Drosophila melanogaster: one gene and its partners. The protein of the gene in region 1 interacts with the protein of each later gene in a biochemical or structural test. Each region holds a gene or a part of one and is shown on either strand. Other genes may lie near its edges.

Region 1 (3,978 bases):
AATGTTATATTCAGACAGAATCCGTCTTTGAGTTTCTTAGAAGTATATACAAGCCTATGATTAGGTAATGGTCGCAGTTCTTATTATTGGTCGTATAAAAAAAAGCTTTTTAACGAAATATATAAAATCCATCTTAATGACAAAGTATGACATTACATGGCCTCCACGCTGATAATCCTGCTTATTGTGAAACAATAACACATATAGGTCGTACATTAATGGTAAATCCCATCGCCCAATAAACAGATCGGAGTACTTCCCCAAGAGAAAGGTCACTATTTCAACGATAAGGTGAGGCAATCTCACCTATAAAGAGGAGCATTAAAAGCTGCAGCACCACAATCTAAAGTTAACTTGCCGTTAATCAAGATGCAACTGCTGCCAATCCTCGTGCTCCTCGCTCTCCTCATCTGCGCCGCCTGCAAGAACCACGAGGACTGGGGAGGATACCGACCAAGTGACTACGATCCCAGGCCATATTTCCGGCAGTTCTAAATGATCACGAAACTCAACCCACAGGAAAATCTTTACGAAAAATCGATGCAACCATAGAAAGAAAATAAACAAAAAAAAAAACTAGGGAATTAACGTTGTATTTGTTAAAAACCAAAGCGAAGCTGATGCCGAAAAGGGTGAATTATTGGCAACCGTTTCTATAGTTTTATCTGAAACATGTATGAATGTTTTATGGCTTAAAAACTAAGTTTCACTGTCACAGTTAAACCAAAAACACAACTAATAAAAACTGTTTTAGGTGATGAAACTGCGACAGCAGACAATAGAAACTTAAAAACCTACACAACTTTATGCTTTAAGATTAAGTGGGACGAACATTCACTTGCCACCGGCAGTGAATTTGGAGAGCTTTTCCAGCAGACCAATGTAGGAAGTGTGCTCATGGGCAGTGGCTAGGTCCGACAGTTTTTCGGCAAACTCCTGACTGATGCCCTTCTCCTCCAGCAAGTTGATCAGCAAGTCGTACAAGTAACCGTCAAGCACGTCGCCTGCGACGGCGTAGACCTTATCGTTCCACTCGCCCTCGAAGATGGCCATTTCATCAATGGAGAAGACATCGTCTGAAAGGTAAAACCTGTGTTATCGGTGAATCAAAACGATTTCTGTCAAAGTACTCACTGTACTCGCCCTCCTGAGCTTCGCCTTGAAGGAAGCTGCAGGTAAAGGACAGCGTAGAGTTGCCCTTTATGATGTCCACCTCGAACTGGGGCTTGCTTCTCATTTCACCGAGATCCGGCTTGTCAGCATTGGGGTTGATTTCGGGCTCCTCCTCGCTGTCCACCGTATGGTTCACATTGAAGCTGACCACCACCTTTTCCTTATCCGTCTGCTTGGTGAGCTCCACATCGGCGCCGGTCAGTTTTACGGCGAATCCATCCAGGGTGCTTGGCACCGTCTTGCCCTTTTGAACCTTGCGCTCGGCCACTATCTCCTCGGTGAGGAACTCCACCAGTTCCCGCTCACCTGGATATAAACAAAGCGTTTAATTTTCTGTGTTTTGGTCAACATTTCGTCACCCAACGTTTGAGGTTATGTAACCGGCGGCATGGACCGCCCATGTAAGAATTTGTTGAGTTAACTTACATTTGGTGTGCACGTTGCAGCCGCACGTGCAATTAATGCTGGGCTTGTGGAGATTCAACACGGTTACATGATCGGATCCTCCGGCTGTCACCGGCTTTTTGGTCATGTGCCACAGGCTGCGGGTGAAATCGCGCTTGCCGAGAGATCCGGCACTGGAGCTGGCCAGAGCGGCAAATCGCATGGTTGCTGTCCTTAGGCTGTTCATTTTGTTATATAACCGCGACCTGGGCTTTTTACTTTAATTAAACACTGAAATGTGCAACACGCCAAAAGTGTAGTGCCTGGTGTGACCGTTGAATCTTATTCAGAAAATCACGAGGCTGATGTATTGTAGAGCCATATCAGAAGTTATCGATCATTTTTCGGCGCGAAAGGCTTTATCGTAAACTATTCAAATTTTGAAATTAGCCTTTATTGGAAAAATGATTGATTTCAATAAATATAACCAAACCATATTTGCTGTAAAAATTCAATGTTTCATAGATCCGAACCTATTAAAAGACCACATTGAGTTATGAAAAAAATGACGACTTTATTAGATTTACGAATTGCTTATCGGATGTATACAACAATATACACATTACAAGGACATACACAGTAATAAAAACTAAACACCATGAAGGGTTTTCTCTGGTTCTTGATCCTCCGAGTGGAAGACCCATTCCTACGCAATATTATCATGCATGCAATCAGACTCGTTCGTCATATATATCATTGTTTTTCAACCAAAAGGCATATCATTTCATCTTTCTAAAATTTCAATAAAATCTATCACAATATGAGAAATCATTACATTACGTTTTTTTTTGTAAGATTTAAAAATATTTTATATATAGCTTTTATCGGGATTTTCCATTTTTAAGACTTTCTTATGTTAAGATTTAGACATTAGGCGTACATATACGTATAAAAATATATTAATTACGATGAAAATTGCATTTTACACGTTTTAAAAATAAAATTGCCATTGTACATTGTATTTATGCAACTTCTTTAGTGGGACGGACAACAGCTTAGAAATTAAACATAAAATTATTAAAATGCTGATTTACGTTGATTGCCAACCAAGCTCATTATTTCCATCCAAAGCTTACAAGTTTAGCGTTAAGGCCTAGATTCGACACGATTTTATACTATTTATAAGGCTTGCTGTTGTTGCAGTGTTCATTTATTTTCGCTTTCTTGTGCGTTTTTCCATCTGATGATGTGGGGGCTGCGGTGTCAGTTCTTATCAAACAGCCTCATAGAAGTTTTCTTCGTTTCTTAGCCTAGTTCGTACTTTTAATTACATTCTATGTTCAATTCCTTATAGAGCTTATGTTAGATACAATTTTACGCTTTTGTTAGCCACAAAGCATAGAGCTTTAAAGTCTCTGTCGCATTCTGTTAGTTCTCCACAAAACAAACTCATATAGAATAATTAATCATTCAGTCTAACAAAATACTTGTTGAATATTCGATTGAATTTCGAGAAATAATTGGGGCTGGTCCGCTTCGGGTTCGATTTCGGTATGCATGATATGTGATTAAATTTGTACAGCTCTAATATTTGCACTTAAAGATTATACATTAAGAGTACACATAAGGGGCGACACAATCGGGCTGCGTAGCCAAGAGCCGGCACTCCTATTTTGGACAGCAAAGGTCGACGTCAGGGGAATGCGGAATGCTTCGGGTTAGCTCCAGGCTGCGGCAGCCCGCACACTACGTTGTCAATAAATTTAACTAAATTTTGACAAAGAAACTAAGCTTACGCAAATTTTACATCAAATTAAATTACAATACAAGCTAAGTAAAAAAGACGCAACAGCTCTGCTTCCTATCTTTCGGATGCGTTTCAAACGCATCCGAGACTGTCGTTTACATTATTCGCAAATTGGGTGGGGGGTTACTATAACTAACAGCAACATAAACAACGAAAATATGTTTTAGAGTATAGAAATTCGACTAATTTTGCAGTTGGCTGCCCTCACAAGGCCACTAGATGTAAGTGCGTTTCACTTTTGTCAGCGTTGACGTTTTGCAGGGCAGCTCTTTTTCCAAATGTTCCGTGGAGTTTTTGCACTCATGACTGCGATCCTTTTCTAAATCCAGATTAGGTGTTTTTTGTGTGGTCGTATAGGCATTGGAGCCCATTAACAGGTTGATGTCTTTGCCAGTATTTTGATGTTTAAATTGCCTGTCAAAACCATTTAATTAGAATTGTCCAATATGGATTTGCATCTTCCAAGATAAAACTTACATTGGCTTGCCGAAATGATTGCGGTGACTTTCATCCATTTGGGCCTCCATCAGGCGGCTCTTAGCCTTCACACAGCATATTCCTGCGATTCCACCCACAAGGAAGGTAAAGAAAACGATAGTTGTAAGTAGCATGAA
Region 2 (4,754 bases), on another chromosome or scaffold:
TTTCATTTTTCACTGCGCAATGTTTCTCTGAGTAAGAGAAATGAGCTGTAATGGGTGCCAAAAGCCAACGACAGGGAAAAGGAGACAGGAGGCCACCAGACAATTTATGCGAGCCTTGGGAATTGTTTCGAAAATTGACAAATTATGGTCGTAAGTGCTGCGATTAGTCCGTTCCGTTCCATTCGCCTTTTCGTTTGCTATTTTTGCCAACTGTCCCAAGGTTGTCTTCCCAAAACCACAATGTGCATTACATTTACTCACAGAACAGTTGCAGAAACGGGTTTATGGCATCCATAACATTGCGGGCACTGCGTGTTATTAATAATTCAATTTAGCTGTCTCAGAACAGACGACGGGTCAGAGAACTCTGGAAAGCTTGAAGCACACGCAACTCCTCCTATACCTTCGAATTCCCAATGCCGTGCCCATTTACCGCTCAGCCTTAGCAGTTTTCCCGTTCCATTTCCTCGGATCACAGCTCATTATCTATTCATGCAAAAGCTCATATAGTGGAATAATAAATTGAAATTCGACGGGCACCTGGAAACAACCACAAATACCCATTCGCGCTATTCCAACATCCTAGAATCGTAATAAAAAGTACACGATTTTTAATTGGTTTTTATTTCTAAATTCATCGAATGTTAGGAAAGGATATGCCTGGACTTAACTGCATCAGACTTTTTCCTATCTCAGTATTGCTGGCAAATCCGTCGGCGCTTGTGGCGTTCACTGGTGGTGACCTTGCATGCCTGAAAGGACACCAATGAATAGTCTTCATAACATAAAAAATATACGTACCATCCGGCGGTATCGATCCTTTCTATTCTCCGAGAGCCTGGCCCACGCTTTAGCGGCCTTTGCAATTAATTCCCGCGGTTTCAAGTTACAGTGCTTCTTTCGGAAGGAACGCACAAAATTCAAATAGGCGTTGTTAGTGACAGGTCCCTGCTTGCTGCACTTCTGCCTCGGTGCACACTTGACCTTGGGCCGAGTCGCCTTGGCACAGGCTGCCTTTCGGCGCGGCTTTGCACAGGACTTCATTGGCTTACATTTTTGAGGTGCTCTCCTTATTGGATGATTACACATTTCAGTGAGACCTTTAGGACTTTCATCTTTTGCAGAAATGGAAATTATGCCATTCCACAGGCTCTTGCACTCATTTACATTATTTGAACTCATCGTAGAAAATTTTTACAAACTCTGAAAAGAAAAGGAAAGGGAAGTTTTATATGGGATTTATTTGTTGTGTACGATGTCAGCCATCAACTGTGATGGAGTATGTTCCCCCCGCATGTGAGTGTTGGCCCCAGAAGCCGCAGAGTTGCGTCCTAGAGAAGTCACTTAATCAGTGAGCAACCCGAGTCTCAAACCAGAAGTAAAGCCCAAGCCCTACCGACCAGGATGAAGATCTGAACAGCAGGAGACAAGCGGTTGCAACTGCAACAAAGCCCATAATTAATAACAGTTGCAAGCTGCCTCCCGACAACCGACGTTTAGTCACCATGTGTGGGAGCCTAAGTGGCGGTTCTTAGCCAAGACCAATGAGTATTAAGAACTGGTTATATAATTGTCATGGAAATCTACAGTAGTTTGTAATGAAAATTAGTACCCGACAGCAAATGGGCAGTGGTAAATAATTAATAGAAGGACTCTCCAAGGATAAAAAAGCTAAACCAATATCTGTATAATTCAAGATTACTGAAGTTTCCTCAAATCCGAGCAATTTATTTGCCACCCACAGCTGATATTTTGGGCTTGACAAATATTAATTCGAAATATTAATTTGAAATCGTTATGGATGTGTACAAATTACAATTTGTGACCAGCTGTGCCATCGCACCACACTGCCTGCATTGTCTATCAAACCCCACTGAACACCCAGTTGGAATACAAAATTCGCTTTAGCTAGAGAGCTTCATTGAAGGCCCAATATGCTCCTTTTGGCTCTTCGAACTTAAAATTATCTTGTGGATCAATATAAAAAAAAACAGCACGAGTTGAATGGATATTATTGGGGCTTCGCCGGGAGGAAGTTATCTTCAAAGCTATTTTTCTTCAATGAAAGGAAGCCTTGATTGATTAAGTGCTAAACTAGATTTAAAAGCCAACGAGGGCAGGTAAAACTAAGTAGGAACCGACAGGAGCTGAGGGCGTCGAGTGATTATCATTAGCCGCCAGAGTAGTTGCCATTTAGCACGCACAACGAGATGAGTGCCAGCAACATCAGCAGCAGATGCAACAATGTTTGAGTAATTGTTTGCCGTTGCTGCAGCGTCAACAGCAGCACAAGCAGCAGCACAAGCAGCAGCAACTGCAGATGCAACAAAATTTGCATGCAAGCACAAGTCCCTACTCACCACCCCTTAGCCCAAAACCCCACTCATTGCCCCATTTGGCTGCACACGTAACTGAACGGTGGCAACAACTGCAGCAGTAATTGCAACAAACAATTAGCGTCACTTGGATTTATGTTTACGAGCGGCTGCCTGGACATTTTCGGCCACAATGACAGTGTGCCCCCTGTCTACTGCCCTTTTATGGTTGTCAACGAGCAAAAAGTTGATCAATCAGGACGTGTAATTTATTTACAATTTCACTCTGACAACGAAAGAAAGAACTAAGAGTTTCTCTTCACATTAACTCGATCTTTCTTTCGGCCGAACCGCGTGAACCGCTATGATTTATTTAATTGCCCGCGCTTGCTGCCAGTGTTGTTGCAGCATGTAAATGACGTCATTACAAGGCGTGGGGCGTGGCAAGGTGGTTGCCTGTCGACAGACTACCCCCGGCATTAGTTTAAAGCCAGATAGGAGGGCCACATCCATCCGATATCGAGGCAAACACGCCACGTCGACAGTCGACATTAATTTAATCGCATCACAATGCATTTACAGAACTGAATTTCACAAAAGCTTCTTTAAAAGAAATTTTTGAAAGTAAAATTTTTTCAAATGAAGTTTATCGAAACTGATTGGCATACCAATAAAAAATAATTATGCGCTTCGTTTAAAATAATTTGTATGGTATGTTGTTCTGTAAAAATAAATTGTAATTCGTTTTATTTCACTTACCTTTATAAAGTTTTTTTTTTTAAACCAAATTTTTGTCACAACTAATTTTTAAGAAGAGCATAAAAATAAGACTTTTGGAAAAATTTTGCTTGTGAACTGTTTGTGTACCAAGTTACAACTAATGTTTAAAAAAACCGACTGCCCGGTATAAGGGGTATACGGCAAAACCTACGCCAACTATATGGAATAAAGTTAGATTTGATCGAAACGACGCCGGCGGATACGCATCCTGGGAAACATCCTTCTGTTAGGTGGTTACGCCCCCATGTTTCCCTTTGCCAGTGGCAGTGTGGCAAGTTTTCCTCATAGGTGGCATAAATTATGTGAAACAATTTTTGGGTATTTCGATTGTCTCACAACAGACGCCTGGTCAGAGAACTGTGGAAAAGCTTGAAGCAGAAGCCTATCCATATCTTCGAATTCACCATTGCCGTGCCCATTTACCACTCAGCCGTTTCATTTCTTTGGATCACAGCTCATTAGAAAGCTCATATAGTGGAATAATAAATTGAATTTCGCCGGGCACCTGGAACAACCACAAATACCCATTCGCGCTATTCCAACATCCTAGAATCGTAAAAAAAATGAAACCCGGTTTTTAATTTTTTTTATTTCTAAATTCATCGAATGGTATCAAATCAATGAAAATATATGCCTGGACTTAACTGCATCAGACTTTTTCCTATCTCAGTATTACTTGCAAATCCGTCGGCGCTTGTGGCGTTCACTGGTGGTGACCTTGCATGCCTGAAAGGACAAATTAATAGTCTTCATAATATAAAAAAAAAATACGTACCATCCGGCGGTATCTATCCTTTCTATGCTCCGGGAGCTCGGCCCACGCTTTAGCGGCCTCTGCAATTAATTCCTGCGGCTTCAAGTCACAGTGCTTCTTTCGGAAGAAACGCACGAAATTCAAATAGGCGTTGTTAGTGACAGGTCCCTGCTTGCTGCACTTCTGACTCGGTGCACACTTGACCTTGGGCCGAGTCGCCTTGGCACAGGCTGCCTTTCGGCGCGGCTTTGCACAGGACTTCATTGGCTTACATTTGGGCGGTGCTCTCCTCTTTGGATGATTACACATTTCAGTGAGACCTTTAGGACTTTCATCTTTTGCAGAAATGGAAATTATGCCATTCCACAGGCTCTTGCACTCATTTACATTATTTGAACTCATCGTAGAAAATTTTTACAAACTCTGAAAAGAAAAGGAAAGGGAAGTTTTATATGGGATTTATTTGTTGTGTACGATGTCAGCCATCAACTGTGATGGAGTATGTTCCCCCCGCATGTGAGTGTTGGCCCCAGAAGCCGCAGAGTTGCGTCCTAGAGAAGTCACTTATTCAGTGAGCAATCCGAGTCTCAAACCAAAAGTAAAGCCCAAGCCCTACCGACCAGGATGAAGACCTGAACAGCAGGAGACAAGCGGTTGCAACTGCAACAAAGCCCATAATTAATAACAGTTGCAATCTGATTCCCGACGTTGTTTTGTAACGAACAAAAAGTTGATCAATCAGGACGTGTAATTTATTTACAATTTCACTCTGACAACGAAAGAAAGAACTAAGAGTTTCTCTTTAGATTAACTGGATCTTTCTTTCGGCCGAACCGCGTGAACCGCTATGATTTATTTAATTGCCCGCGCTTGCTGCCAGTGTTGTTGCAGCATGTAAATAACGT
Region 3 (3,563 bases), on another chromosome or scaffold:
ATGGCGATGATGCCGTCGATGTGCCGCCACCGCTGGCGCCACCGGCCGCCCCGCCAGCCACCTTAATTACCTCGATCTCGCGAAATAGCCGCTTTAATCGCACCTGTCGCATCTTCATTTCGATGGTGCGATCGTTGAACTCCTGGATGCGCTCGTACTCATCACGCAGACGCTGCAGTTGGCCATTCTTCTTGCTCTCGTTGAACATGCGACGAAAGTAGGGCGTCGATTTGATCTGATACGACATGATGGTGTGGTTTCTACTCTACCACGGATTATGGATTGGATTTACACGAAATTTGATTTTTATTTACTAACGAAATCCGTACAATTTGGATGCGACCGAAATGTGCGTTTTGGATTTGATTGAATTTGTGCTGCGGAATGTTTGGGATTTTTTGTTTTTCGTGTGTGTGATCTCAAGTTTGGTTAGCAAATGCCAAATGTTGCTGGAACCCGAAATGACATGACCACGCAGCGCCTACTTGGTTAACAATCCAAATGCTGTGGGCAAAAAAAAAACAAAGCTGATTCCATGTTAACATTTAAATGTCCAGAGTGGTTACAATAATTTATTGATCGAATTGCTTCTTAGTGCCTGAATCTTAAAGCTAAATGGGCGGGATTATGTGTCGCAGACACGCCTCCGCGCCACAAATCATAGCATATAAGTAGTAGTAGTAGCATAGCATATATCATCTGGTCACTGCTGTTGGCTGCACTGCATCTCCTGCTACCCACATCTCGCGCTTACAAGCTAAACATCACATGAGCATACACATAACATCGAATACATAAACGAACACAAATGAGGCGAACATGTTTAAAAGATGAGTTAAATAAGTAAAAAAAAAAAGATGCGCTGCTGATTGCTAATTGCTGGGCAGGATTGCTGCTTACGCCTTCACCAGCTTGGCCATCATGTTGGTCAGCTTGTGCTCGTCGGCGCCGGCAAAGGAGGCCAAGCGTCGATTTTGGCGCAAAAAGACAAACGTTGGCATGCTGCGCACCTTGTAGCGCTCCGTCAGCTCCTCGAATTTGTCCACATCGATCTTGAGCACCACCGCCTTGCTGGAGTATTTTCTGGCCAGCGATTTGACGGTGCTCTCCATTTCCTTGCAGGGACCACACCATGTCGCATAGAAATCCAGCACGATTAGCTTGTCGTCGGCCGCCTCGATGCGCTTGTGATAGTCGTTCATGGTGCGTACGGATGCCATTTTTATGTCGCGAGGATTAGCAAAGTGTTTTTCTTCTTTTTTTTAAATTAAAGAACTTGACGTGATGGGGCTGTTGGCGCTTTCGCTGCAAATTGTGAACTGATTGAAATGGCGGCTGCGTAGGCGACTTTATAGGGGTCTCCAAGTGGCGGTGTGTAGAGTGGAATTCCCGCCAATTTGCATGCTGAATTCTCGCGTGGCCGCTAAACAAAATGGCGGCCCATGGAGAGTGCAAAATGGCGGGCGTGTTAGGGTTGCCAGGTCGTTGGGAAAGCCAACCGAGTGTGTTGGGGGGTGGGGAACATACTTATTCACCACGGCAGGTCTATCGATATCGATATGAATATTATTATCGTAATTATGGCAAAATAATGGCGTCACACGACATAGTACTAATATTTTCCTCGAGTGTTGCCATAGCCGTGGTAGGTTCGAAGCCAAACTCACCTCAACACACCGCGCCGCTGACATTTGAAAACACTTTTTTTTCAATCCAAGAAGGCCGCAAAATATTTGGCGAAAACTGTATAAAAGAACGCCTGCCGCCCTACAATTTTCATTTCGGGCTGATATCTCGGCGAGGGCAGAGCTCCATTAAAATTCAAAAGTAACAAAACAAATCAAGTGAATTTTACACCCAAAACAAGATTTTCTAACATTTTCCTTTTTTTTTTCTTTCTTCTCTTCCCATTTTTTTTTTTTTTTGTTTCGTTTCGATTTGCAATCCGTTTGGAATTTAGTTAAAGTCATGGTGTACCCAGTGCGGAACAAGGACGATCTTGACCAGCAGCTAATCCTCGCCGAGGACAAGCTGGTGGTAATTGATTTTTATGCAGACTGGTGCGGACCTTGCAAGATAATAGCACCCAAGCTGGACGAACTGGCGCAGCAGTACTCGGACCGTGTCGTCGTACTCAAGGTGAACGTGGACGAGAACGAGGACATTACGGTCGAATACAATGTGAATAGCATGCCCACTTTTGTGTTCATCAAGGGCGGCAATGTGCTGGAGCTCTTCGTTGGCTGCAATTCCGATAAGCTGGCCAAATTGATGGAGAAGCATGCCGGCGTTTATACCGATGAAGCGGCCGACGTTAAGGCCGTCCATATCGATGGCGAATGCATTGTCGATCTGACCGCCGAGTCCAGTGAAAGCGACAACGACAACAACAACGTTAATGAGGTGTCCGCCCACGACGAGAATGCCGTTCTGGAGCACTAGGCAAAAGTACCATTACACTCCGAACATAACGACAACATATGTATGTAAGTACGATTGCCGGAGTGCAAGCATTGTGGTCACATAACCGATTCCCTGCTCCTTCTCCTGCAGCTCATCATTCAACAGACGTAACGGAAGAAAGCAATAGATATATATATATATATATACATAGACACACACACACACACACACACACACTTATCGATGTATATATATATATATATATATATAATACACACACTTATCCCAGATTTATTATGCACACTCATAATACTCATCATTTGTGGTGCCTAAAGTATGATGATTGCATTACAATTGTAAGCCTGATGATGTTGTTACGGCGGAGGAGGACTACGTCGCTGAACGATTCTACATATAGCAAACATTTTGGGAATCCGAGGACTTGTGGGACTTACTCAACACACGCTCCCGCACACCAAACTGATGTTGATTTTGCAGCGAGCTTGATACACCATGCAGACTGAGCAAAGGGACGCTATATATATATATATATATACTACTATACACCATATACTATACACTAAATGGAAATATGTACAATCGACCGACATAAATAATACGCATTACTAGCTGTTAGTTATAAGTTTGCAGACAAACAAATAGATCTACACAATAAACAATCAACTATTCTATTCTATACTTTTGCCTTTAAGGATCTTTGGGCGAAATGGGATATGGGAGGGATATGGGCATATGGAATACTCGTAGTTTGTTTGTTTATATCGATTTATTCTATAGTTTAAATTATTATTGGAGTTGCTGGAACGCCCGGCGACTGGAGTTGCGTTCACTTCTTGGCGAACGTTATCTTCATGGCGTGCGTCGGCGTAATCTTGAAGCCCTGCAGCGCCTCCTTGGCGGCATTGCTCTGCAACTCGGTGGTGAACTCCACAAAGGCGATGTCGTGACGATTCGGCACAAGACGCACCTCCTTGAAGCCGGGGAACTGATTGAACAGCATGGACAGCATCATCTCGTTGGTCTCCTCGGGCAGATTGGTGAGGAAGAGGATCTGGTTCGGCGGCTGCTCGGTCTGTGCGTTCGGGTTCGAGTTCTCGGCGCTGCTCGGCTTCTTCTTCTTGTCCCTGTGCGAAACGAAA

The links.
Region 2: of the proteins of P32 (region 1) and ProtA, one has a biochemical effect on the other in vitro, tested with the Drosophila melanogaster proteins (one study listed by BioGRID).
Region 3: of the proteins of P32 (region 1) and dhd, one has a biochemical effect on the other in vitro, tested with the Drosophila melanogaster proteins (one study listed by BioGRID).

Annotation. Positions count from the first base shown.
Region 1 is NT_033778.4:17,670,731-17,674,708, forward strand, and holds P32 (P32), read right to left. Parts: upstream 1,911-3,978; 5' UTR 1,805-1,910; coding exon 1,600-1,804; intron 1,480-1,599; coding exon 1,135-1,479; intron 1,077-1,134; coding exon 835-1,076; 3' UTR 579-834; downstream 1-578. Other genes in the region: IBIN (induced by infection), read left to right, coding at 370-495; Sema1b (semaphorin 1b), read right to left, coding at 3,580-3,778, 3,842-3,978.
Region 2 is NT_033779.5:14,878,437-14,883,190, forward strand, and holds ProtA (protamine A), read right to left. Parts: upstream 3,217-4,754; 5' UTR 3,075-3,216; intron 1,204-3,074; 5' UTR 1,183-1,203; coding exon 802-1,182; intron 753-801; coding exon 693-752; 3' UTR 614-692; downstream 1-613. Other genes in the region: ProtB (protamine B), read right to left, coding at 3,768-3,821, 3,871-4,251.
Region 3 is NC_004354.4:5,310,117-5,313,679, reverse strand, and holds dhd (deadhead), read right to left. Parts: upstream 1,510-3,563; 5' UTR 1,221-1,509; coding exon 897-1,220; 3' UTR 558-896; downstream 1-557. Other genes in the region: CG4198 (uncharacterized protein), read right to left, coding at 1-247; TrxT (thioredoxin T), read left to right, coding at 1,969-2,442; snf (sans fille), read right to left, coding at 3,251-3,548. UniProt on the Drosophila melanogaster protein: Participates in various redox reactions through the reversible oxidation of its active center dithiol to a disulfide and catalyzes dithiol-disulfide exchange reactions. As a reducing substrate of peroxiredoxin 1, thioredoxin 2 is preferred over thioredoxin 1.